Tribolium castaneum: one gene and its partners. The protein of the gene in region 1 binds, or shares a complex with, the protein of each later gene. Links are inferred from orthologs where the notes say so. Each region holds a gene or a part of one and is shown in the gene's direction. Other genes may lie near its edges. The genes, in order: Sf3b2, Sf3b1, cysteine-rich PDZ-binding protein, mdlc, Srrm1, l(2)37Cb and splicing factor 3B subunit 4.

Region 1 (4,265 bases):
CCAACTCAATGACAGGCACATTTTGTTTTTTGTCCTTTGATGTTTCAGATTTTTTTTCTTTTTTCGCCGTTGAAGCAACAAAATTAAATTTGGGCAAATCAATGGTAGGACTGATCTTCTCTGTAGTAGTCTTTTCCTGCACTTCAATGTAGCTTGAACTTCCCTCATCTTCATTCACAGGACTCAAGTTTACAGACTTGCAATTTTCAAAAGATTTTGAATCTTCAATTTCCCTAAACGAAGAAAACTTTCCTTTCCCACTTTCGTCCGCTTCCAAAGAAGACAAATTCTGTTTTTTGGTCTTTGGTGTCTTGCTTGAAGCAACAAAATTGGGGAAAGTACCATTGCTAGGACTATTTTTCTCTGTAATACGTCCATCTTGTGTACTCTTCTCGTTGACTTCAATGTAGCTTGAACTTCCCTCATCTTCATTTAAAGGGCTCAAATTTACGCTCTTGCAATTTTCTGACGGTTCTTCAAGAGATTTAAAATCTTCAATGTCTCTAAACGAAGAAAACTCTCCTTTCCCACTCTGTCTTTTGACCTTTGGTGTCTTGCCATGTTTATTTTCTTTTTTCACGTGTCCATCTTGAGCCATTTTCTCCGTGACTGTGATGAAACGTGAACTTCCCTCACCATCACTCACAAGATTTACAGAATTTTCGGAAGATTTCTCCTTCAAACTTTTTGTAGTGAGATCTAATGTCTCATCATTGCACTTGTCTTCCAGTTCACATTGCTTGGTACTCCTAAGAACTCTCTTAGCTTTGACGATTTTTCTTTTATTTTTTGGTACAGGTGGCGGCGAGATTTTTTGAACTTCCTTGAACAAAAAAGGGCTTCCTTTGTCACTTTTCCCGCTCTCATCGAACTCCAAACGAGGCAAATTCTGTTTATTATGCTTTGACGACGTTGGCTTAATATTTTCGTCTTCTTTTTCCACTGCAGAAGCATTAAAACTGAAGAAAAGCAAATCGTTCGTTTTTCTGACTTTTCGTCCACTTCTTGTTGCTTTGGCACTGCTTAAGGGGCCACTGGTGCTTTCCATTTCAGGTGGATTTAGTTTTTTATTTAAACGTCTGCTGGACCTCACTGACATTTTAATGCAAGCTATAAAACAATTTTTATGTAATTTTCGTATCAAAAAAACTCGGTTTTTACCTTTAACGTTGTGTTAAATCCAATTATTCGCTTTTTATAGTAACTTTACAGTAAACAAGGCACACAAATGACAAACCGACAACAAAACCGTTTTTTTGAATCTGACATTTGAGATTGAGATGCGTGATTGGTCCAAATTAGATTGGCATCTTGTTTGAAAAATAAATTGATTAAATATTTATAAATTATTGTATTTACAAGATGTTAATAGAGAAAGTTGTAACTAACTGGATAAATAACTACTACATTTGATTTATTCTGTATGAAAATTTTGGGAAATGTTTTCGCTTTTGCAGGAAATCGAGCTGTCGCGATTACGGTCGCATTCGCTCTAATTCCAAACAAAAATGTCGACCGAAACGTTGCTGAATGCCGCAATAAATTATTAATAATATTAAAAGTTTGCGGTTTTTCCTCATTGTAGATAAAATTTAACAGACTATCTGTTATAGTAAGTTCGCTTCTTGCTTTGATTCAAACATTTTTTAAGAAATTAGTATGAGAAAGAGGTTATATCAAATTGAGAAAAGTGCTTTTTAGTGTTAGAACAATTCCATAATCCCGTCTCCTTTCAGCTTACGGCTGCAACAAGCACTGATTCTACTGACAAATGAATCCGGATCAGCTACAAGAGGGTGTCCCGGAGCACCCTGTGCCCCACCAGGAAGGGATGTTTGGGTCAGGTATGCAAGGGTGGGCTGGTGAACATGGTAATTGATTGTTTTCAACCAGTTTGTTTATATCGCATTGGACTATTTCAGGTGTTGGTGGTGAAAAACAACTCCCCTCATTGCTATCCCTAAAAGTGGATCCTCCTGATCAGATGATGGAGACGCCACCAACTGAAGTTGTTTTACCTCAAGTGTTGGAAGAGGTGTTGGCGTTAAAAAATCAGAGAGCGCGTGAACTAGAACGAGAAGAAACGGAAACAGTAGTTCAACAGCCGCAGACTCCTAGAGAGGCGCTTTGGGAGAAAGATGACAATATTGTAGCTTTTTTAATTTTTTGTATGAATATAGTTATAACGATTGTTTTTTTAGGAACCCGTGGTTGAAAATGAAGAAGAGAGTCAGGTGAAAGAGACCACCAAAATCAGTAAGAATAAAAAGAAGAAGAAAAGGAAGAAGAACAAGAAAAACAGGGAGAATGAACAGAATAAAGCGGCTGAAGAGGAGGAGAAAAAGGATGGGCAAGAGGATGGGAATACAGATGTGGAAGTTGAGTAGGTGTTTTTTCTATTTGTTTGACAAAATTGTTATGAGTTTAATTAAAGGTACGTCCAAGAGACGATTAGTCTTCTTGAACTGGCTCCACAATACCGGCAGTTTTATAGCATTTTTGACGTGTTTAAAATAACTGATCAAAAGCATGATATCCCACCCCCAGTTCTGGCAACGCCAACATCATTGTCAAGTAAATCAATGTTAAATAGCATAGGAGATCACTTTCAGGAAGAAATGGAAGATGGGGACGACGTAAGTGTTGTATTACATTATGAATAAAAAATATGTATCTATTTTTTTTTCAGAAAAAGCTTGACGATAAGTCAAAAATGTCCAAAAGAAAGCTTAAAAAATTGACGCGACTTAGCGTCGCCGAGCTTAAACAACTAGTCAGTAGACCAGACGTTGTAGAAATGCACGATGTAACAGCCAGGGACCCAAAATTGTTGGTCCAATTGAAAGCTCACAGAAATACCGTTCAGGTAACGATTATAATTTTCTCAAAAATTAAAAGTAATGCAGCCATTCCATGATTACGGACGGCACATAACTATTATTTTAAAAATGGCTTATTAAAAAAAAAAGATGGATTAACAATTTAAATTCATTTTGCCACTTCTAAAAGTTGTTATAAATAATTAGTTACGGATGGGACACAAAAAATTATGCTTTGTAACAATTTTATTATAACACGAAAATGTTAACAAAATTCAGGAACTACTAACAATTAATAAAAAAAGAGAATACCTTTTATTAAATTATTATTAAGAATAGAATTAAGTCGTAAGCTTTGGAAAAATAATTTTCGTCACTACTTCCAATTTGAAAACTCTTAATTTTGCGCACATATAGAATTCTGTAGCATTATTAATTATTATTTTCTTTAGACGAACTTTGTTCCAAACTAAACATTTTACTGAACGCATAAGAAGCAAGGATTTGAATTTTTTATTAAAAAGTGATGTTTTGGAACAAACTTAACAGATTTTTCATAATAATAAAGCAGATGAAAATATATGCGGAGTTAGCAATTGGCTGAATAATGTGTTTTTCAGGTACCACGTCATTGGTGTTTCAAACGAAAGTACTTGCAAGGTAAACGTGGTATAGAGAAACCACCTTTTAATCTTCCAGATTTCATTAAAAGGACTGGAATCATGGAAATGCGTGCGTCATTGCAAGATAAGGATGAATCCAAAACACTCAAAGCTAAAATGCGGGAAAAGACCAGACCCAAACTTGGAAAAATCGATATTGATTATCAAAAATTACACGACGCATTTTTCAAGTACGTTTTTTTTATTTTTGATAAAAGCTAAAATTGCTATTGTTTGTAATTGTGTATTCGTAGAGATTGGGAATAATTGAAAAAGATAGACAGCTGTTTATTTAGAATTTTTTTTATAATCTCATTGTTATTGTTAGGTGGCAAACTAAACCCAAAATGACCATCCATGGGGACCTTTATTACGAGGGCAAAGAGTTTGAAACCAGATTGAAGGAAAAAAAGCCTGGAGATTTATCAGAAGAATTAAGAACGGCCTTAGGAATGCCTGTGGGCCCTAACGCTAATAAAGTACCCCCACCATGGTTGATTGCAATGCAACGTTATGGTCCCCCACCCAGCTACCCCAACTTGAAAATTCCGGGATTAAATGCCCCCATCCCTGATGGTTGTGCCTTTGGGTACCATGCCGGTGGGTGGGGAAAACCACCGGTGGACGAAAATGGAAAACCATTGTACGGTGATGTGTTTGGAACAAATGTTACCAACATAGATGTAAGTATTTTATAATATTGTTTTATTGAATTTTGTTCAAATATCAATGTTTAGGACATTGGTGAGGACCCTTCCGTGGATCGCACCCTCTGGGGCGAGCT
Region 2 (3,942 bases), on another chromosome or scaffold:
TTTGTACGAAAATTTTCATTTGCAGTAGTTCATTTAAAAAATCACAACTCTTGAAACTTTTACAATAAATAAATAATTATATTAGTATTCGATAACCAAAGGTTCAAAGGGTCTTTTCAAATTTTCAGGATTGTCAAATGTCAAATTGCAAGACTACTATGATTTTTTGAAATTGATCAAAAAGTAATTATAACAGTTTTTTCAAATTTTTGAATGGTAATCAAAAGGATATCGATTTTTATGGAGACTTTTATCAATATCTCCTATATCTATCTCTTATACTTTTTAAAATAATCTCAAAAAAAAAAGACCAAAAGCTCATTGTTTTCAATTTTAATCGAGTAAACTTTCGAAAAATACGATAAAGTTGTGCTATTAAATAAAAGTACTGCTTATTTGATAATAAATCAACTAAAAACTAAATAAAAGTTGGACAGTTGTTGACCATTTTGCAAGGTCTACTTGATTAACTATGAAAATTACGAAGTAAAATCCGTGTTTTTTTTTGTAATTATTTCTAAAAATGTAGGAAATGGGTATAGGACGTGTTCATAAAAGTCACCATAAATATTGATGTTCGATTGCTGTTAAGAAAAAAGGATCGTTCCATTTGAAAGACTGAGTTATAGCCATATTTTGCCAAAATCATACTAGCCTTGAATTTTGACAAATGACAATTTTACAAAAATTCAAAAATCCCTAAATCGATTAAAATAATATTTTTTATTTAAAAACGACAAAAAGGGGGCAATTACAAAAAATAGTACAAAGATCTTTTAATTTACTATTAATTAATTGATTACAGGAAACTGGAAATTGTGGAGAAAGCAATCAGTAAAAGGAACGAAAAGAATGGGCGAAGAAGTTCCGATGAGGACAGGTCAAGGAGGGACAAAAAGCACTCACGGCATAACAATGATGACTACAGACGGGACAGGAAGCGAAAATCTGATGATTCCTATTATGAAAATAGCAAAAGAAGACGCTCTTAAGTTTTTGTTGTACATTTCTTAGAATTGTTGTGATTATAGGGATTATCATGATACTTGTAATAATTTAGAAAACGTAATATATTTTTAAACGTATTCCACCGAATTTTATTTATAAATCCCGCCAACTTTAGCGACAGGCTGGCTATTGGTCCATTTTCGCGCAGGCGCTTAATGAGTCGCCATTTTGTAACGCAAGCTTGTCATTGATTTTCCTTGAAAGTGTTTTGAAACGAAATAAGCCAAAGCAACAAGCATTGGTGCTAGAAAATGGAACAGATACCAAGGACTCATGAAGGTACGCTGTTTTTTGCACCCAAAAGCCCGTTTCATGACTTTTTTGCGTCTCTAGACATCGAGGCCCAAATTCGTGAAATCCAGTCTAAAAAGAAGGAAATTCCGGTGGAAGAGGAGCGAAACGAGAAGGGTGTAGGTTTAGGCGAGAGTGGCTATTTTGATAGTGAGATCTACGATGGGGGCGGCGGTAAGGGTAAATACGAGGGTTATGTGACCTCGATCGCCGCCAACGATGAAGCCGATGAAGAGGACGACGATGTGGGTTATAGTCAGAAACGGACCGGACTGGGGGCCCCTGTGGCGCTCCTCAATGATGTCGCTCAGGTGAGATTTGTGTTATTTAAGTTTTGTGGTAGTTAACTGAGTTGTTTAGAGCGACAAGGATTTTGATCCGTTTGCTGACAAGAGGAGGCCCACGATTGCCGATCGAGAGGACGAGTACAGGCAAAAGAGGCGTCGGATGATTATTTCACCCGAACGTGTTGATCCGTTCGCTGACGGTGAGTAGTTGATTTCGTCCAAGTATTTATAGCTCGTTTTTCCACTTGTTTATGTTTTATATGAAATTTGAGATAATGCTGTTGCTGTCGCTTATCTCAAGTTTTGTATGTTATTGGGGTATATGAAAGATAGCGAATGGATGCATGAGTGAGCAAAAATACTCGAGAAAGTAGGCATTAAATAAAAATCAGTACAAAGAAACTAATTTGTTCTGTATTGGATTCCAACATTTAGGGGTGTCTTCCTAGAGAAGTAATCGCCGCGATTTTAATGGATCACTTCCGTAAAATGTAACGTTGGTAAACGAAAATCGAACAAGAGTGAAAGAGTGTATGCAATGTATAGAAAATTATTAATTACCCCAGCCTATTTCTAGGTTCGATTTGACCAGTTGTTTTGCGAGAAACTGCCTGATTTGTGATGGAGCACAATCACACGTACGTATCAAGATTTGTTCGCCAAATTCACTCCCTTTCAATCCCCAATATTCGAAAAATAATCAGTTTGAGTGAATTGTGGTGCAACCAAATCTTTCAATCATTCAATAAAGAACAGATACTAAATAGAAAAGTCTGACCATTTTTTGCCAACAAGTGCTTCCGTTTACTAATTGGCGTTTTTCAACGCTGTTATGTTTACAGGTGGCAAAACACCAGACATCAATGCCCGCGGTTACACCCAGATTATGAAAGAGCAGATGCTCAAAGGAGAAGAAAACGAGGTCAGTATCAAAAATTTATCACCTAGCCAATTTTTTTTCGTAATTATGTCCGGCAATGGAGTCCTTTGTTAACTCAAAGTTGATTTCTTTGACCACTTGTAATTTAATTTCAGTTGAGGAAAAAAATTCTGGAAAAATCCAAAGACGGTTCACTCAAATCAACAAACGGTGAGGTAAAGAGCGCACCTAAGAAACGGGGGCGCTGGGACCAAACCGTAGACGAAGTCGTCGTCCCCAGCAAAAAGAAAACTCTCTCCGTAACGACCAACAGTGCAGCTGCTACCCCCATCTGGGATGCTGACGTAACAATCCCAATTTTTTAAAACCAATTATTAATAAAAAAATTACAGAAAACTCCAGCCGACCACCGCTGGGACGAAACCCCCGGCCACAAAGGCAGTGAAACGCCGGGCGCCACCCCCGGCCAATCCACCCGTATCTGGGACGCGACCCCCGGGGCTGCAACTCCAGGTCGCGAAACGCCCGCTCATGACAAGAGTGCCAGTCGTCGAAACCGCTGGGATGAAACACCCAAAACCGAGCGTGAAACTCCGGGACATTCGAGCGGCTGGGCTGAAACCCCGCGCACCGACCGAACCGGAGCCGACTTGATTCACGAAACACCGACTCCGGGAGCGTCCAAACGCCGCTCCCGTTGGGATGAAACTCCCTCTGTTCAGACACCGTCGGCGCACATGACTCCGGGTGCTATGACGCCGCAAACGCCGCACGGAACGCCAAGCCATGCCACTCCGATGCTGACTCCGGGCGGGTCAACTCCGGTCGGAGTCAAGGCGATGGCCATGGCGACGCCCACTCCGGGACACTTGGCGTCCATGACTCCGGAACAACTCCAGGCCTATCGATGGGAGCGGGAGATTGACGAGAGGAATAGGCCGTATTCGGATGAGGAATTGGATGCGATGTTTCCGCCGGGGTACAAGATTTTGGCACCTCCGGCTGGGTATATACCCATCAGGACGCCAGCAAGGAAATTGACAGCCACGCCCACACCCATGGTTAATACTCCCCAGGGATTTTTCATCCAACAGGAAGATAAGACAGCCAAATATCTGGATAATCAACCAAAAGGGCAGAATTTGCCGTTCATGAAACCAGAAGATGCGCAATATTTTGATAAATTATTGGTCGATGTTGATGAAGAAGCTTTGAGTCCTGAGGAACAGAAAGAACGGAAAATAATGAAACTACTCCTAAAGATCAAAAACGGGACCCCTCCCATGCGAAAAGCCGCCTTGAGGCAAATCACAGACAAGGCTCGAGAATTCGGTGCAGGGCCCCTTTTTAACCAAATTTTGCCCCTTTTAATGAGTCCAACTCTGGAGGACCAAGAACGTCACTTGTTAGTCAAAGTCATAGACCGAATTTTGTACAAATTGGACGATTTAGTCCGTCCCTACGTCCACAAAATAT
Region 3 (2,361 bases), on another chromosome or scaffold:
ATATACTTTTTCAAATTATTGTGTATGTTATATCAAGTAGGTTGAGGAAGTCTAAATATTTAATTTAATTTAATGACCGGAACAACATTATTAATAACAAAAATCTTTTTTTCTATATTAATTACTTTGTTAATTTTAATGAATTCTTTTTCTACCTCAGAAGCTTGAGTACACGTATTTATTGGAAAGAATAATTATAGAACAGATTAAGATTCATAATTAATATAAAAAAGTATATTTTGCTGACAACTGCTAATTTGTAGAAAAGAATTGTAGAAAAATTTTGAAAAGAATTACATAGATAAAAAAAATTAAATATTTATTAGCAAACGCTGGAAACCAGACAGAAATGCCTAAGTTTGTTGTAGATTAAGTTTACAAAAATAATAATAATCTGAGTGATCAATGATTTTAAATCTAAGTTGGCCACAATAACTATCAAATCTAAACGTTAATTTTTGTACTCGATTTTTAAATTTCACCTACAATTTATAGTACCAATAATAAAAATAAGTGTTGCCAACTTAATTTCAAAATGTATTTTGCTCTGTTTTCCAGAACGGACAGATGATGATGATAGTGATGACGATGATAGCGAGATGGAGGATGCTTCTGACGAAGAATTGTCAATGGACGAAGATGAAGATTTCGATGAAGATGACCTTGAAATGAACGATGATGACAAAAGTATATTTTTTGTAATAATAAAACACAAAATTATCCTTTGCTTGCAGTGCTTCTGGGTGACTTAGACGACGATGAAGACGAGGAAGTTGTTTTTGACGATGAAGAACCGAAGTCAGCAAAATCAAAGAAGAAAAAATCCAAAGACACAAACTCAATATTTGCATCAGCTGAAGAATTTGCCTCATTGCTTGACGATGAAGGTAGTTCGAAAATAGCCCCAGGAAGTTCAAATGCGTTATCAAATAAGGATAATGCGAGCACTAAACAACTTGCCTGGGAACAGAGTAGAAATAGGTGGTTGAAGGGATTTGATGAAGTAGTTGGCAAAAAGAAAAATAGTAAAGGTAGCAATTTTGGCAAGAAAAGGAAAGGTCCAAATAAATTTAATAATAAGGCAAAGAAGAGGAAGAATTAATAATCGACAAGGAAGCAGTCGATTGCATTTTAATTAATATAATTCTTTACGAATCCACCAGTTTTGTGTTTTATTTAATTCGTGTTGGTTGTATTTCGCGAATATACAACTACACATAACCCATAACCTAACTTTTCGTGACGTTTAACAGTACGTTCTGTTTATTATCTTCGTGTTTACAATTTCGTACCAAATTCACAATAATTATCGTGTTTTGTGAAAATGGTGTGCGAAAAATGCCAAAAGAAGTTGGGCAAAGTGATAACACCAGATCCTTGGAAAAGTGGGGCTAGAAATACAACTGAGTCAGGGGGTAGGAAAGTTAACGAAAACAAGGCTTTAACAGCTAGCAAAAACAGATTTAATCCATACACGTCCAGTTTTGAGACTTGCAGGTTTGTTAATGCAAGTAATCCTTAAAATTGATTTACTCTTCTCATGTTTTTATTGTAGAATATGTAGGCAAAAGGTGCACCAGGTTGGGTCACATTATTGCCAGTCCTGTGCTTATAAAAAAGGAATTTGTGCGATGTGTGGTAAGAAATTGTTGAGTACGAAGAATTACAAACAATCGTCAACTTGAACTACATTTTGTGTGTTACTTTTAAACAAAATTAAGCCTATTCTAAGTTTTAGAGCAATTTGCATTGTTTTGTAGGTACTGTTAGGTTTTCTGTCTGTATACAGTGAGTGTACGACAATTTAATTATCTTGAATGATAAGGTGTGTAATTATATTTAATAACTTATGACAAAAGTTTTTTATTTCATTTTTATGATAACATTTTTAACTTATTAATTCATTTCTACCTATTCTATCCCTATTTCTTTTTTGTTATTAAGGTTGACTATACATTATTAAAACGCAACTATCAAATATTCTAGAATTATTATTTGGACTTTTTTATAAACTAAAAAACTGTACCTGTAATATTATTTCCACAAAGTTAAAATACGATTTTGTCTTATTGCACTAAAAAAATAATTGAAAAAATTGATGTCTGTCGTATTATTAAATACTTCTAAAAGTGGCTACACTGTATATAACCTTTTAGAAATGAATTTCAGCGATTGGATTTTAAAAATTCACTTCCCTGTATATAAAAAAAACGTGACGAAGTCGTAACAAAATTCAATGAATCAGACAAACCTCTTTGTTTTCCACCTTGCAGTAATTACTTATCTCAGTGATTATATTTTTTGTTGGTGACGTTTTATCCATACACTTACACAATACTGCCGTTTAATTTTATTCAGTTT
Region 4 (3,097 bases), about 2.3 Mb from region 1:
GTTCGCGCAAGAGCGGGAGCAAGAAGTGAACGCAATTGTTAAGTCCATTGTTGACTTGAACGAAATTTTCAAAGATCTCAGTCAGATGGTCGCCGACCAGGGGACAGTTCTGGACAGAATTGACTACAACGTGGAACAGACGCAGATCCAGGTCTACGAAGGCTTCAAACAGCTGCAAAAGGCAGACGCTTATCAGCGGAAAAACCGCAAGATGTGCGCGATCCTTGTATTGGCTGTAACCACAATTATTTTATTTTTTACCTTGATTATCGTGAAATCCTAGTCGTGATAACGTATTTTTATTCGCTAAGCCAAATATTTATTTATGTAAATAAATTATTGAAACTTGATCGTTTTATTCAATCATAACACACGAGAAATAGTAAAAATTATATAACACAAATATGTACGCAGTCTATTATTACACAATGACATCTTAAATAACTGAAATTTTTCTAATGCGAGATCAAATTTAGACTTCCTTGTACGACTCTAACACCAGCTTTTTGTACTCTTCTTTTTTCTTCCACTTGTCGGCGGCCGTCGTGTTCAGCGGACTCCTCGTGTTTGGTTCCCCTAACAAGGCCTGAATTGATAACAAAATTGTTCTAACGTCATAAAGCGCCGACCACTTCTCTTTTAAAATATCTAAGCAGATGTTCCCACTGGTGTCGACGTTGGGGTGAAAGCAAGGCGTGATGAATTTTACTACGGGGGCCGCGTAGGGGTACGAGTTCGGGAATTGTAAACTTAGTTTATATTTTAAACTCTCATAAACCGTGTCTTTGGGCCCCATTATGGTACCTACCCACTTGAACAGGTTGTCGCCCTCGGGAAACGCCGAGATGCTCTTGTCTTCGGACATCATCAAAGTCATAAGCTCTTTGTGCAATCTGCAAATCGAACAAAGATTAGCACCCCAATTTAGACTCACTTTTTGCCCACCTTTTTGTCACTGCGTGATTATCGTTCGATACCTTCTTGGAACTTTCGGCCTGCTTTACGTTCTCGGGCACTTGCTCCACGAACGGATTGAAATTTTGGGCCATTTTTACCACGTTCACTAATAAATTATCCTAATTCTACTTTAATTGATTTGTAGAAAATTCGTTACGATGCAGATGGATGCCAAACGTCAACGCACTTTCAAATTTAGCCAATCAGGAACCGTCACCCATAACTACCAACAGAACCGCGAAAGCAATTAACATTCAAGCACTTGCTATTACCATTATGACGCACTAGGAAAACGTGTAATTACAAATTCAAATTAGATTAAATTGCTTTGGCTCAAGTCTAACACCACAAAGGCGTTATTGAGTTTTGAAATTTTTGATATTTTGTTTGGCGTCAGCACTGACACTTGACACTTGTCAAAGATGGATGATCCGCGTGACGTTAAAACAGGACTTGATGAAAGTTGCACTTTTATATTTAAAAAACGGAATATAAAAAATAAAGGGGCGCGGAAGCGCCAGAAATCCAGTTCGGAAGGAGGTGGGTACCCCAAATCCGTGAATTAACCTTCACTGTTGTTGTAGACTTAGTTTTCGTGTTTTAAAGGTTATGTTTGTTTGCGATTTCTTCAGAAAAGTCCAACAGTGAGGACGAATCTGCGGTGAAGCGGGCGAACCGGCGTCGGGGAAAAGCAAACCCCAACTTCCAAACCACAAGCAAAGCCAAACAAAAAGAACATGAGCAGCAGAACTACTCAAGCAGTGAGGAGGAAATTATGGTTAGTTACAAGTCCAAACGGTCCGCTATGCCTGAGGGACCTCAAGATCAGGGAGCGACGGCGACTCTTGTAAGCCACTTAACCACTCACTAGTATTATCCAATCAATAATTATTTAATTAAAGGAGTTTGAAACTGAGCGCGATCGTGACGCCCAAGCCATTTTCGAGAAGCGGCTAGAAATTAATAAAAATCTTGAGGGCAAGGAAGACGATAAAGTCTACAGAGGCATCAACAACTACGCACAGTACTACAAGCCCAAAGACACGGCTGCGGGCAACGCCAGTTCGGGAATGGTCAGGAAGGGCCCCATCAGAGCCCCCGCAAACCTGCGTGCCACCGTCCGGTGGGACTACCAACCCGACATTTGCAAGGACTACAAAGAAACAGGCTTTTGCGGTTTCGGGGACAGTTGTAAATTTTTGCACGACAGGAGTGACTACAAACACGGCTGGCAGCTTGAGCGGGAATGGGCGGAAGGCAAATATGGGCAAGAAAGCGACGAGGATAAACAATACGAGATTGACTCGGACGAAGAGGATTTGCCGTTCAAATGCGTCGTTTGCAGGGACAGCTTCGTGGACCCGATTGTCACAAAGTAGGAGGCACCTTTTACGAGTCTTTATTACAGTTAATTTTAGGTGCAAACACTACTTTTGCGAGAAGTGCGCCCTCGAGAGGTACAAGAAGACGACGAGGTGCTTCGTCTGCAACACGCAAACGAGTGGCGTTTTCAACCCCGCGCGGAAACTCATAGCGCGGCTGAATCGAGAGGATAATCCTAAGAAAAAGAATGACTCAGATTCGGATTCCGATTAATGTTTTTGTAAATTGTGTAATAAATAAACAAATAAAAAATTGAACTGGTTTTATTCCAATCCCACACGTGAAGAGGCGAGTGAGACAGAGAAGACGCTACTTCTTAGTGAGGTGCGGCTTCTGAGTGAAAGGTATAGTAACAGTCAAGCGGGTAACCCCCAACTGGACACATTCATTGTATCTTTCTCTGTCTCAAAAGTACCAAAAACGCGCGCGCGAAAGAGAAAGCTGCTACCTTGCCATTATAACTGTAATATATATTGTACAAGAAATATAAAGTTCATCTCTCATTTGTGCAAAAGTTGCGAGAATACCAAGATGGTATCACTAAAAAATGTTTGTGCTGTTTTTGTGATTTTCGTAGTGACTTTCATGGATGAAGTTAAGGCCCTTACTGGTAAGGAATCCAATTGGTTCCTAATCACCGTTAATTGTTTTTCTAATCACCGAGTTATCACAGTATTGTGTGGTAATGCATTATGTTAATAAGATTTTTATGTGACACAACAGTTAAATAAAAACCGTACGGTGAAACGATGATATT
Region 5 (4,000 bases), on another chromosome or scaffold:
ATAAGCACGGAAACTTCGTGACATGAATTTCGTCTTCGGCTGTAGGTCTTTTAAAAATTAATCACGAAAAGTACCGTTTAATTACCATCTCAACCTCATTCCGAAGGCTAGTCATCTCAGACAATACGAAATACCTGACCAAATACTCAACAAGATGATGACATCACCGGTTTTCCAAAAAACCGTCAATGATGGGTAAAATCATCTAAACCCGACACTGTCCCGTGCATTACATTGACCACCTGTCCAGTACGTACCTACTCAAAGCGATACCTGATCATTGACCTCATCATATAACTGTTCTTCGGCGTTTATGTGGGCTGCAGAGGGCAAATATTTTGAATATCGGTAAATCTACATACTCGCGCGAATTGAGCCCTGCGCCCCTGCAAACTTACCGCAAAAACCGTATTTTTGCTAATGGCCATCCTGTCCTGACTCTGGCACTTATGAGACTCGAAAAATTGCAAATCTAGCAAACAATAATTTTCGGTGCGTTTCACTCAAAATTGCCAATCCATATTTGAACCACCTTTTTTCTACTTTATTTTTTCACTAACTGGCACTGTGGTCACTGGTGCACTTTGGTCGGGTGCTGCACGAAATAATTTCTTTGAAGTGTGCCAGTAGACTGAAGACCAGGTTGTTCTTGAACTTGTGAAACGGAAATGATATAATGTTGTACCTGGGAGGGATTAAAGAACAAGAACAGTTGCTAAGTGGGAGAACACCCTGTTTTCCTATTATAACAGATGACTGGCTAATAGTCGACGGACCATTACGGTTCAATGGAGGCTACCTGTCTCATCTGGGCCCCCAATTATGTTGTGCTGAAGACAACTTTGTTTCTCGAGTTCTAAGAAAAATACCAATTGGGATTTGATTTCGTGAACAAAACAGTTTTTTTGACTAGCACTTTATGTTTAGAGCGTTTGATTGGGAGTGAATGACCGGCAAAAAGCAGTTCATTTGGGAATTTTTCCGGAATTTTATTTTTTACAACTGGGCTGCTCTTGTGTGCTATTTTTGCACAAAGTAGCGTTTTTGCCTCATTTTTAGTAAAATACGTGGTTGGGCGTTGTTGTAGTTTTGCGATAAAGCGGCTTTTATTAAAATAGGTTTGAATGAGTTCTCAGATTTTAAAGTCGCGCTTGGCCCGGTCGGTGCGGTAGAGCTGCGGTGGTAAGGCAGAATCTGGAATTATCAACAAATTTGACGCCATGACGCCACGCCATTTTGTTGGAAGCAACATGGATTTGTAGAATTTAGTGCGCGATTAATTGTAAAAAACGATGATTTTTTTATTGTGAGTCGCGTTAATCGGGAGTTTGCATTAACCGCTGTAGTTTAGTGTTATAGTAAATCATGTGAAGAATTCAATTATGTGTATATCGTGAAGTCAAGTACCGGCGTCTGTGCTACAGTTCCTCGTTTCTTGATTTAGTAATTTGAGTGGTTTTTGTTAGTTTGCAACGAAAGGACCATTTCCGGACTCTATGATGATGTATACGGTGAGTTTTTTGCAAGTGGATTACGTCCCCCCTTGGTGTTTATTAATAGAACTGTCAAATATTTTAAGGGATTATTGTTGTAAACAACTCGTTTCAGGGCACAACCACCGAGCAAGACAATCGCTTCAGCGATAAGGAAAAAAAGCTCCTGAAGCAGATGAAGTTCAGCGATTGTTTGAGTCAGAGGGTAAATTAAGCCAAGCGTAGGTACCGTGATAAAGCAGCGCTCAATTGCAGGTTGATATGTCCAAAATTAAACTTGATGTCATCAAGCCGTGGATCCAAGACAAATTAACGGAAATCTTGAAAATTGATGACGACGTCGTCGTCGATTTTGTTTATAATCAACTAGATGAGAAGGTACAACATTGCCAACTGAAACTCGCTTGCTTAAATATTTACGTTGCAGTTTCCCGATCCTAAAAAGATCCAAATCAATCTTACGGGGTTTCTGCATGGGAAAAACGCGCGCGAGTTCATGGCCGAGCTGTGGGCGCTCTTGATCTCAGCACAGGAGAACCCGTCCGGAATCCCCGACTCACTCTTGGACTTGAAGCGTGAAGAAATCATAAAAAAGAAGGTTTGCATAAATTACATACTTTTGGTGGTATCACCGCTTGTGTTATATTAGGAGAAAGAGGAAAAAGAGCGTGAGATTCGGGACCGGGAAAGAGAAAAAGAGCGCGAACGCGAAAAGTCCGACAAGGAGAAGAAATACAGGGATAGGGACAGGTCCAGGTCTAGGAGGAGATCACGGTCAAGGTCGCGGCCCAGGAGGCGGTCGGTTGAAAGGTCCAGCAGGAACAACGATAGAGGGAAGGACAAGAGGTCAAGGAGCCGTTCCAGATCCAGGATCAAGATTGATGATTTGAGGAACAACGGCAACGCAAGTCCCAACGAACGGGAGAATAATGGCAGAGAGGATTCTGCCAAATTGGAAAGCAGTACTGCCAATTCTAAACATAATTCGTAAGTTTGTTTACTGATAGATTAAATTTGTTGCGGAAATTAATTGCACGTTGTGGTAAGTGGTGAGTTTTGTAAATTGCTTCAGTAACTCGTGTTACGACACAATTTCAGCAAGATGCTAAAAATGGTTATTATTTTTATGACGCGCAAAATTCGTTGAATAAATAAATAAAGAACGTTAGAGAAAGTTGGTTTCTTTCTTGATTATATCACTGGCTAAAAGTATTTTAAGCAAGTGAAAAAATTTGCACATTTTAATACTGCGTGGATTTTTTGTTTAATAAGTTTTCTAAGGTTTGCGCTATTTTGGCACGTTTTGGGATTGATTTTATTTTTATTTGTTAACGTATTAAAATAATTGTGGATTAATTTTTGTGATTTTGTATGTATTTAATAAAAACCATTCTTTGTCAACATGCATTGATGATGCAGCTTTAATCATCTAATGATGGAACGTTATATTGGAAATGGACGTAGTTGTGTGAGCAAGTTGACTTTGTTATGTGATTCAAATAATTTTCTTAAAATTATTCGAATAGATATTAGTTTACAGGTTTTTTGTAATCTGTTTTTAATTACGTCGAAAAATTATGCAAACGGTTATTTACGTTACAAGGATTAAAAACGATATGTTGCATTACGTGGGTGAGTGATACGTTGTGTTTTCATAAGAGTAACGTACAATATTTTTTCTGTAGCTTTATTAAAACATTTTTTAATTATGTATTAAAATAAATGTTATTTTTATTACAAAATTACGTTGGTATTTATCACTTTTTATTTTGTTTTTTTTTTCACACTAATCATTATCGTGCCAGTGCCTGGTAAACACGAATTTATTAATAGATTTTTTATATTTGTATTAGAAGTTTTATTTCCCGGTGTTCTTCTTTGCCAAGAAAACATTTTTAAAGTTTTTTTGTCTTAGCTTGCGTCCAAGCACTTTTATTAAAAAAAGTCAGTTATATAAACTATATTATGGCTATAAATAAATACCTCAGTCTTATTGGTTTTATAAAACTTTATCGTCCATTGTATAAAATAATTACAAAAATTAAAAACCACTTGTAAGGAAGAATAACAGTTTAAATAATAGCGTTACCTTTTTTTTGTATGTGATGGGTTGTACCGATGTATTTAATGTTTGTTCGGACATTTTGTGTAATCAAAATGCATCGTTGGCTTCGTCTTGATTCCATTATTTTTGTTGCCCGTTTTGCAAACGATGTGGGCAGGTTTAACGTTGGCTTTACTGTCTAGAGAGAGTTCCCAGCCCGTGTCAAAGCTTCAAGCGAAGCTGATGTCCATGGCCGGCGGCAACGGCAAACAGCAGCAACAGCAGCGTAACTCCCGTTCCCGTTCGAAATCAGTATCTCGCTCCCGTTCAAAGTCGGCTTCACGCTCCAAGTCACCCAGCAAATCGCATTCGAGATCCCGTTCGTCGTCTAGTCCACGAGCATCAAAGGATCGCAAGTCGCGCTCCCTCTCCAAGGACAAGGAGAAACGTCGCTCCCGCTCCA
Region 6 (4,288 bases), on another chromosome or scaffold:
ACACCAGCAACATCGATTTTTCGAAAGTGAACGAAAACGACCCGATCTTTGGCCCCATTGTCATGCGCCAAAAAATCAACGAGGCCAAAGAAGCCCTCAAGTTACGCAACTGGCTGGTTAAGAACTACCAAAGTGCCTTAGAAAAACTCGAAGCCAATCGGCCTCTACGCGAGGAGGTCGACCGTTTGCGCAAAAAAATCGCCCAACAGTGGAAGCTGACCGACGTCCGCTGGGACTGCGGCTGGAATGTCACCCATTTTCGGGGCTGTCTGCAAAGCTTTATGTCTCTGGCTGAACAACATCCGGAAGTTATGCACGTTTTGAAGGGCCGCACGCTGGTGTTTGCACCCTTTACAGGGATCAGCCTAGAGGGGCACATCATGCTCAACAGTGGGGAAGTGCGGCACAATTGGCTTGATGTAAGTGAAAATTTGAATGTGGTTTTGAAAGTAATTCTTGACCACAGTTGATCAAAAACGTGAGAAAGCACGACAAAATCCTATTCCGAATTCCTGGTTTTGAAAAATCCGTCTCGCAAGTCTTGAGAGGGATCAAAGTTGGCAGGAGGTAAGAATTCTCATGTTTCACATATAAAATTTAGTCGTCAGTTTTTCTCAGACTTTTGGTTATTATTGATTGGATTTGAATTAATTTAAAACGATTTGTTTTTTCAGAAAATTTATGCCGAAAGTTTTGGCGGGAGAATACGAGCGAAACCTGCAACAAATCACGACTTCTTTAAGTGACTATAGAGGAAGGCGGGGGTTCCCTAAGCAGTGGCCCCAGTCGTTAGAAGAATTTGAGATTGTTGTTGAAACGTATGAATTTTTTTATTTTAATTTAATCATAAATGTTTTATTATTTTAGGGAAGCTGGACCTTTGATGGTCTCTCCCACTGGTCAGTTTATAGTCCCGTCTTCCCTACCTGGATTTTTGTTAGTCAATTTTATCACAACCAATTTAGAACACGCCAAGGAAAAAATGACTGAATATAAAAAGTTTGTGAATGTTTTATTTTGATTCCCGTTAATTGTTTCTATTTCAGCGATAAATACATAGAGCGGTCTTTGCAAAAACAATGCATGGATGAATTCAAGTTATTTAATCTTAGGAAAGATGATAATATAACACCGGATTTAATGATTAAATGCTGTGAACGGCTCTTAGAAAAAAAAATTGATATAGAACAATATCTAAACGGTATACATTTAAACGTAGCTACTTACTACTCTGTTCTTTCAGATGGAGTGGTTTGTATACCTTGGAATTGGAAATTGTGATAGTAGATGCGAAAAAAGACCAAAATTTTCACTTCTTCTAGGTAAAAAAATATTAACTTGTAAAATTATGTGATAAGAAATAAATCTATATTAAATACAAGTATTGGTTTATTTATCCCTGTGTCACAGCCTTTTAATATTTTAATAAATTGGTTTGAATGCAATCACTAAAATCGCATTCTCAAAATTTCGGTGCCACCGGACTTGTAACCTAACCACTTGTCAAGTTTGTTTTGACATTTAGAGGTTATGTTGTTGGTGGAAGAATGTAAAATTCAGTAAAACACTCTTTAATTAAGCAAAAAACTACACATATTAGCGAGGCACAAGTAAAATTTTGTAGTCAACACTTGCTGGAGTGCCTCACCATGGGCAAAAAAGACAAGAAGGGGCGTAAGCGCTACGAATCGAGCTCGGACTCCGAGTCCGTGGACAGTGAGGAAGAAGCTCGTCGTAAAGACCTGAAAGAACGTGACGAGTTCGCTAGTAGACTCAAAAAACGCGATGAAGCCAAAGTCCGCAACATTGTCCAGGCCTCAGACCGGCGCGCTTACGAGGAAGCCGCCAAGAGACTCAAACTGGAAACTGAAGACCGCGAAAAAATGATCCCCGCCTTGAGGGTGCAGTCAAGACGTAAATATTTAGAGAAACGTAAAGATGATAAAATCGCGGAATTGGAGGAGGATATCGCTGACGATGAGTATTTGTTCGAGGAGGAGATGTGAGTTGGTGGAATGATTTTGCGGTAAATGCCAACCTGAGGTTTTAGATTAACAGAACGTGAGAAAAAGGAGCGCGACCGTAAGCGGGAATTGCTGCGGTTGGCACAGGAACATGAAAAAGCGCGTGAATTGGAAAGGGTGCAGCGGTACCACATGCCCAGGGATTTGGGCAAGGGGTCAACAGCGGACTATGTGGAAGTTGATGAGCTGGAAAAGGTGCCCCAGTCGGAGCAGAAGAAATGGGAGAAGGACCAAATGGCGTCGGCGGTCTTCAAGTTCGGGGCCAAGGATTCAGCCAAGAAGGACGAGTACGATTTGTTGCTGGAGGACCAGATTGACTTCATCCAAGTCTTGCAAATGCCAGGTCTCTATTTTTTATAGTATCTTATGATACTTCGTCCCAATAAATGGAACATTAATTGCGTCATGAGCCATGAAGTAACAAAATGATAATTCGTAAAAATTAATTCTGAAAAAAAAATTTCGTATCTTACAAAAGCACAAAAAGCAGTAATAACGTTTCATTTGAGAGAAGGCTAATTAATTGAATATTAGCAAAAGTATGTAGTTTTGTTGGCTAAACGAAAAATTGAGGACTAGAATATTTTCATAAAATTATTACGGCAAAAGAAAATAATTTACTATTTGATGTCTCACAGAATTTTTATTGGAAGAAAATAGATAAAGAATCGTCCAAAATAAGTCAATTTCGGCTAGAATACGGCTTTTCAGCCACTTCTCAAAGAGTTTTCTCGTTTCTAAGCAAGAAATTGTACAAAATGAATGGTTTTCGTCCGAACTAGTGCATACACCGTTCTTTTGAGCTAGAATAAGGCGTTTTCAATCTTCTTTTATGCGTTGTTTTTTTGTTTTTAAGCAAAGAATCGCCAGAAATAAACCGTTTTCATCCAAATTATAACATAAATAGTTGTTTGTTTCCGGCTAAAATAAGCCGTTTTCAACCACTTCTCAAAAAGTTTTCTCGTTTGTAAGCAAAAAATTGTACAAAATGAATCGTTTTCGTTCTAACTAGTGCATAAACCGTTCTTTTGAGCTAGAATAAGTCGTTTTCAATCTTTTTTTATGCGAGTTTTTTGTTTTTAAGCAAAGAATCGCCAGAAATAAGCCGTTTTTATCCAAACTATAACATAAATCGTTGTTTTCGGCTAAAATAAGGCGTTTTCAGCCACTTATACAAGAATTTTCTCGTGTCTAAATAAGAAATTATACAAAATGATTTTTTTTTTCGTTCTAACTAGTGCATAAACCGTTCTTTTGAGCTAGAATAAGGCGTTTTCAATCTTCTTTTATGAGAGTTTTCTCGTTTTTAAGCAAAGAATAGCCAGAAATAAGCCGTTTTCATCCAAACTATAACATAAATCGTTGTTTTCGGCTAAAATAAGGCGGTTTTCAGCCACTTCTCAAAGAGTTTTCTCGTTTCTAAGCAAGAAATTGTATAAAATAAATCGTTTTCGTCCAAATTAGTGCAAAAAAAACGTTCTTTTTATCTAGAGTTTTTTCAATCTTTCGTTTTTAACCAAAGAATCGTCAGAAATAAGCCGTTTTTATTCAAACTAAAAATAGAGAAAAGACAAAGTATTGACTTGCATTTGACCTTTTCAGTTCATAGTAGGTAGATTTAATTAAAATAATTGCTCTGTATTTCTAAAAAGTAGGCATTTATTTTTTTATTTCTCTGTAATCTTCTTACAAGAACCGATTTAGCACCTGTTTAAGAATCATTTGGATACTTTTTCATTAAATAAGTAATTTATAGGTAAATTGTATTGCTGTTTGAATGCTCTCAATTGAAAATATTAGCTTAATAGTTCCATGACAAATAGTTAATGTTGAACTATACTGAGAACGTCTGTGGAGGAGCTGTTCAAATAAACACATGAACGCAAAATTTGAAATAAAATGTTTAAGAACAGTAATTTAAAAATGGTCTTTACGTCACAGATCAGTTTTTATCTTATTTTAAATATTTGTACCCGAGATTAAATAAGTTAAAGTCGATTTATTTTTCTATAAAAAAAGTTACCTTCAAACCGCATGAAAAAAATATCGCAATGAGAATTTTATTTACTAAAAAATGGTAGATGCATAATTTTTTTATACAGGATGCTCAAAAACTGGCGCACCAATTTAATGGTACGTTGTTGAGCAAAATTCGTTAAAAAATTCCTAATCTCATATTTTAGAAAGTCTAGAACTACAAACGTATTTTGTTAATGTCTTCAGTTTTCATTATTTTTTAATGTTTTTATGTTTCTCACTAAGTA
Region 7 (2,353 bases), on another chromosome or scaffold:
AATGTCAGTTTGACAAATTCGTGACACTTGACGGTGTTGTCGAAGTGCACATGTAAATCAATGTTCAAGGATACCACCCTTAGATAGCCCTTAACTGTTTAAATTTGCATTGTTTTTGATAATTTTTTTATAGCTTTGTGTTGGTAATGAAAAAATGAAATTGATGACGCACACGCAAATCGAGCTGACCGCCACTATACCTAACTAGGCAGAAAAATATCGATAATTTCTTATTTCTTTTTCTTTCTTTTCTTTTTTCTCGTTAATTTTTGTAGTGCGCTTTCACTTTTGCACCAAGCAATGGGCCACTCTGAATTATTAATGTTATTATTGTTATTTAAATATTGAAAACAAAAGTTTTTGTCTACTATATTTTGTAAAAGTATTTGGAAACGATAGGAACAAAACAAAATAACTAAGTTAAGTGTGAAATGTATTATTTTCTTGTAAATTTACATTTTTAAAAAATTTAAAAATTTAAAAATAATTATTAATCGTTTTGTTAGGAAACGATTACTTACTGTGAAACATAAAAACATTAAAAAATAATGAAAAGTAAAGAAGTTAAATACAATAAGTTTGTAGCTCTAGATTTTTTAAAATATGACTTTAGGAATTTTTTCAACATTTTTCCCGTAATCTACACTTGCTTCTCAATAACGTACCACTGAGTTGGTGCGCCAGTTTTTGAGGACCCTGTATAACCGAATTTCAAGATCTCAAATTTTTTCGTTGTCCGCTTCGCATGAAAAGCCCCAATTGTTAAATCAGGTGTAAGTGCCTTGTATTGCTTTATGCGACAGATTTAGGGATTCTCATGTATTGAAAAAAATTACCTATACGAGCATTCTTCCTTCAAAATTTATTTATTTATTTTTATTTATAATTTTGCTAATCTCTGTATGTTATTTATCAGTTGAGTTATTTGTCTCACTCCATTTGGTAAAATTAAACGTTCAGCTTCTCCACATACCAATCTATTTTTTTTTTCAAACGTTTTTTTTATATTTTTTAATATTGTAGATAATGAGAGACCCCGACACTGGCAATTCCAAAGGCTTCGCTTTCATCAACTTTGCAAGTTTCGAAGCATCTGACGCCTCAATCGAAGCAATGAACGGCCAATACCTCTGCAACCGCCCCATTTCCGTCTCCTACGCCTTCAAGAAAGACTCCAAAGGCGAACGTCACGGCTCCGCAGCCGAGCGTCTCCTCGCAGCCCAAAACCCCCTCTCCCAAGCCGACCGCCCCCATCAACTATTCGCCGACGCCCCTCCCATGGGCATGATGCCCCCAGGAATGACTCTCGCTCCGCCCCCACCTCCCGTAATCCTCGCTGGAATGATGCCTCCACCACCCCCCACTCCGGCAAGTATGCAACCTCCTCCACCCCCACCAGTTCCTCCACCCAGTTCTTTCCCCTCGGGGATCCCCCCTCCGCCATTACCTCCCTCCCAACCGCCCTTGCCACCAGGTGCACCTCCACCGCCTCCAACCTCCGCCGCTGGAGCACGGCCCCCTCTGCCACCAATGCCTGCCTCAACGCAAGCTTCAGGCGCCCCCAGGATGATACCACCTCCGTGGCAAGGTGGAGGTGGGTTACCGCCACCACCACCTGGACCGCCAAACTCGGCAGCGCCCCCAACGTCAGGTGCACCGCCGTTCCCGGGATGTTTCCCGCCGCCACCGCCTCCAGGGGGGCGGCCCCCGAATTGGAGGCCGCCGGTTAATTTTGGTGGAGGGAGACCACCGTTCCCACCAAGGGGACCTCCACCACCACCTCCGAATAATTTTAGCGAAAATAATTGGTAAAAACAATAATACAATAAAGTCAAGGTGAATTTTTTTATTTCGTTTTGTGTCTTGTTTTTTGGATTTTCCTATTATTATCCTTTTTATTATTGTCACTATTTCCAGTAAATGGTATTGTGGTACCAGGGGCTTGATATCCTAATTCCTCAAAACTTAATGTTTCTAGTGAAAGTAGAATATGTATCATTGGCAATTTTCGTTTAACAACTATTTGGTCTAAATCAGGAATAACTGGATCCCAAAATTCTTCTACTCTGCAAAATTGTAAAATATGATGCAATTTCTGATCCAAGTCGTCTTAGGCTGAAATTAAGTTGGTGACACTCTTAGTGGCGTTTGCCATGCAATGTCACCAACTTATTTTAAGTCATGTCAGCGGAAATTTTTAATTGAAAACAAACTTACACCCTATAACACAGTTTCGTTATTTGGTGTAACTGATTATTGTGTTCCCGTTTCATAATTTCAGCACATGTTACAGTTTTACCAACAGATTGTCCAAATCCTGTCCACACAACGGCTTTAGCACTTGGAAATTCAT

The links.
Region 2: Sf3b2 (region 1) and Sf3b1 share a complex: the UniProt entries of both Homo sapiens proteins name them as parts of the SF3B subcomplex of the 17S U2 SnRNP complex. The link is inferred for Tribolium castaneum from reciprocal best matches to the Homo sapiens genes SF3B2 and SF3B1.
Region 3: Sf3b2 (region 1) and cysteine-rich PDZ-binding protein share a complex: the UniProt entries of both Homo sapiens proteins name them as parts of the minor spliceosome. The link is inferred for Tribolium castaneum from reciprocal best matches to the Homo sapiens genes SF3B2 and CRIPT.
Region 4: Sf3b2 (region 1) and mdlc share a complex: the UniProt entries of both Homo sapiens proteins name them as parts of the minor spliceosome. The link is inferred for Tribolium castaneum from reciprocal best matches to the Homo sapiens genes SF3B2 and RNF113A.
Region 5: Sf3b2 (region 1) and Srrm1 share a complex: the UniProt entries of both Homo sapiens proteins name them as parts of the minor spliceosome. The link is inferred for Tribolium castaneum from reciprocal best matches to the Homo sapiens genes SF3B2 and SRRM1.
Region 6: Sf3b2 (region 1) and l(2)37Cb share a complex: the UniProt entries of both Homo sapiens proteins name them as parts of the minor spliceosome. The link is inferred for Tribolium castaneum from reciprocal best matches to the Homo sapiens genes SF3B2 and DHX16.
Region 7: Sf3b2 (region 1) and splicing factor 3B subunit 4 share a complex: the UniProt entries of both Homo sapiens proteins name them as parts of the SF3B subcomplex of the 17S U2 SnRNP complex. The link is inferred for Tribolium castaneum from reciprocal best matches to the Homo sapiens genes SF3B2 and SF3B4.

What each region holds. Positions count from the first base shown.
Region 1 is NC_087396.1:14,198,314-14,202,578, reverse strand, and holds the start of Sf3b2 (splicing factor 3B subunit 2), read left to right. Parts: upstream 1-1,465; 5' UTR 1,466-1,612; intron 1,613-1,736; 5' UTR 1,737-1,771; coding exon 1,772-1,871; intron 1,872-1,922; coding exon 1,923-2,149; intron 2,150-2,201; coding exon 2,202-2,383; intron 2,384-2,434; coding exon 2,435-2,636; intron 2,637-2,689; coding exon 2,690-2,866; intron 2,867-3,439; coding exon 3,440-3,672; intron 3,673-3,809; coding exon 3,810-4,164; intron 4,165-4,218; coding exon 4,219-4,265. Other genes in the region: uncharacterized protein LOC103313715, read right to left, coding at 1-1,099. UniProt on the Homo sapiens protein: Component of the 17S U2 SnRNP complex of the spliceosome, a large ribonucleoprotein complex that removes introns from transcribed pre-mRNAs.
Region 2 is NC_087395.1:16,040,238-16,044,179, forward strand, and holds the start of Sf3b1 (splicing factor 3B subunit 1), read left to right. Parts: upstream 1-1,142; 5' UTR 1,143-1,259; coding exon 1,260-1,287; intron 1,288-1,341; coding exon 1,342-1,610; intron 1,611-1,659; coding exon 1,660-1,786; intron 1,787-1,791; exon of another isoform or gene 1,792-2,224; intron 2,225-2,428; coding exon 2,429-2,508; intron 2,509-2,621; coding exon 2,622-2,810; intron 2,811-2,858; coding exon 2,859-3,942. Other genes in the region: corepressor interacting with RBPJ 1, read left to right, coding at 806-992. UniProt on the Homo sapiens protein: Component of the 17S U2 SnRNP complex of the spliceosome, a large ribonucleoprotein complex that removes introns from transcribed pre-mRNAs.
Region 3 is NC_087394.1:8,405,689-8,408,049, forward strand, and holds cysteine-rich PDZ-binding protein, read left to right. Parts: upstream 1-1,207; 5' UTR 1,208-1,324; coding exon 1,325-1,497; intron 1,498-1,555; coding exon 1,556-1,685; 3' UTR 1,686-1,861; downstream 1,862-2,361. Other genes in the region: Noc1 (CCAAT/enhancer-binding protein zeta), read left to right, coding at 559-687, 735-1,102. UniProt on the Homo sapiens protein: As a component of the minor spliceosome, involved in the splicing of U12-type introns in pre-mRNAs. Involved in the cytoskeletal anchoring of DLG4 in excitatory synapses.
Region 4 is NC_087396.1:11,857,735-11,860,831, forward strand, and holds mdlc (E3 ubiquitin-protein ligase RNF113A), read left to right. Parts: upstream 1-1,357; 5' UTR 1,358-1,379; coding exon 1,380-1,497; intron 1,498-1,589; coding exon 1,590-1,804; intron 1,805-1,859; coding exon 1,860-2,332; intron 2,333-2,375; coding exon 2,376-2,553; 3' UTR 2,554-2,597; downstream 2,598-3,097. Other genes in the region: Syx16 (syntaxin-16), read left to right, coding at 1-283; vih (ubiquitin-conjugating enzyme E2 C), read right to left, coding at 473-893, 946-1,049; probable chitinase 2, read left to right, coding at 2,872-2,950. UniProt on the Homo sapiens protein: Required for pre-mRNA splicing as component of the spliceosome. As a component of the minor spliceosome, involved in the splicing of U12-type introns in pre-mRNAs. E3 ubiquitin-protein ligase that catalyzes the transfer of ubiquitin onto target proteins.
Region 5 is NC_087398.1:3,112,110-3,116,109, forward strand, and holds the start of Srrm1 (serine/arginine repetitive matrix protein 1), read left to right. Parts: upstream 1-1,200; 5' UTR 1,201-1,496; coding exon 1,497-1,511; intron 1,512-1,608; coding exon 1,609-1,698; intron 1,699-1,748; coding exon 1,749-1,871; intron 1,872-1,920; coding exon 1,921-2,091; intron 2,092-2,142; coding exon 2,143-2,480; intron 2,481-3,740; coding exon 3,741-4,000. UniProt on the Homo sapiens protein: Part of pre- and post-splicing multiprotein mRNP complexes. As a component of the minor spliceosome, involved in the splicing of U12-type introns in pre-mRNAs. Involved in numerous pre-mRNA processing events.
Region 6 is NC_087398.1:7,190,229-7,194,516, forward strand, and holds the start of l(2)37Cb (pre-mRNA-splicing factor ATP-dependent RNA helicase DHX16), read left to right. Parts: upstream 1-1,488; 5' UTR 1,489-1,649; coding exon 1,650-2,002; intron 2,003-2,050; coding exon 2,051-2,367; intron 2,368-4,288. Other genes in the region: T-cell activation inhibitor, mitochondrial, read left to right, coding at 1-419, 467-567, 675-818, 868-999, 1,047-1,281. UniProt on the Homo sapiens protein: Required for pre-mRNA splicing as a component of the spliceosome. Contributes to pre-mRNA splicing after spliceosome formation and prior to the first transesterification reaction.
Region 7 is NC_087395.1:2,320,617-2,322,969, forward strand, and holds the end of splicing factor 3B subunit 4, read left to right. Parts: intron 1-1,023; coding exon 1,024-1,812; 3' UTR 1,813-1,853; downstream 1,854-2,353. UniProt on the Homo sapiens protein: Component of the 17S U2 SnRNP complex of the spliceosome, a large ribonucleoprotein complex that removes introns from transcribed pre-mRNAs.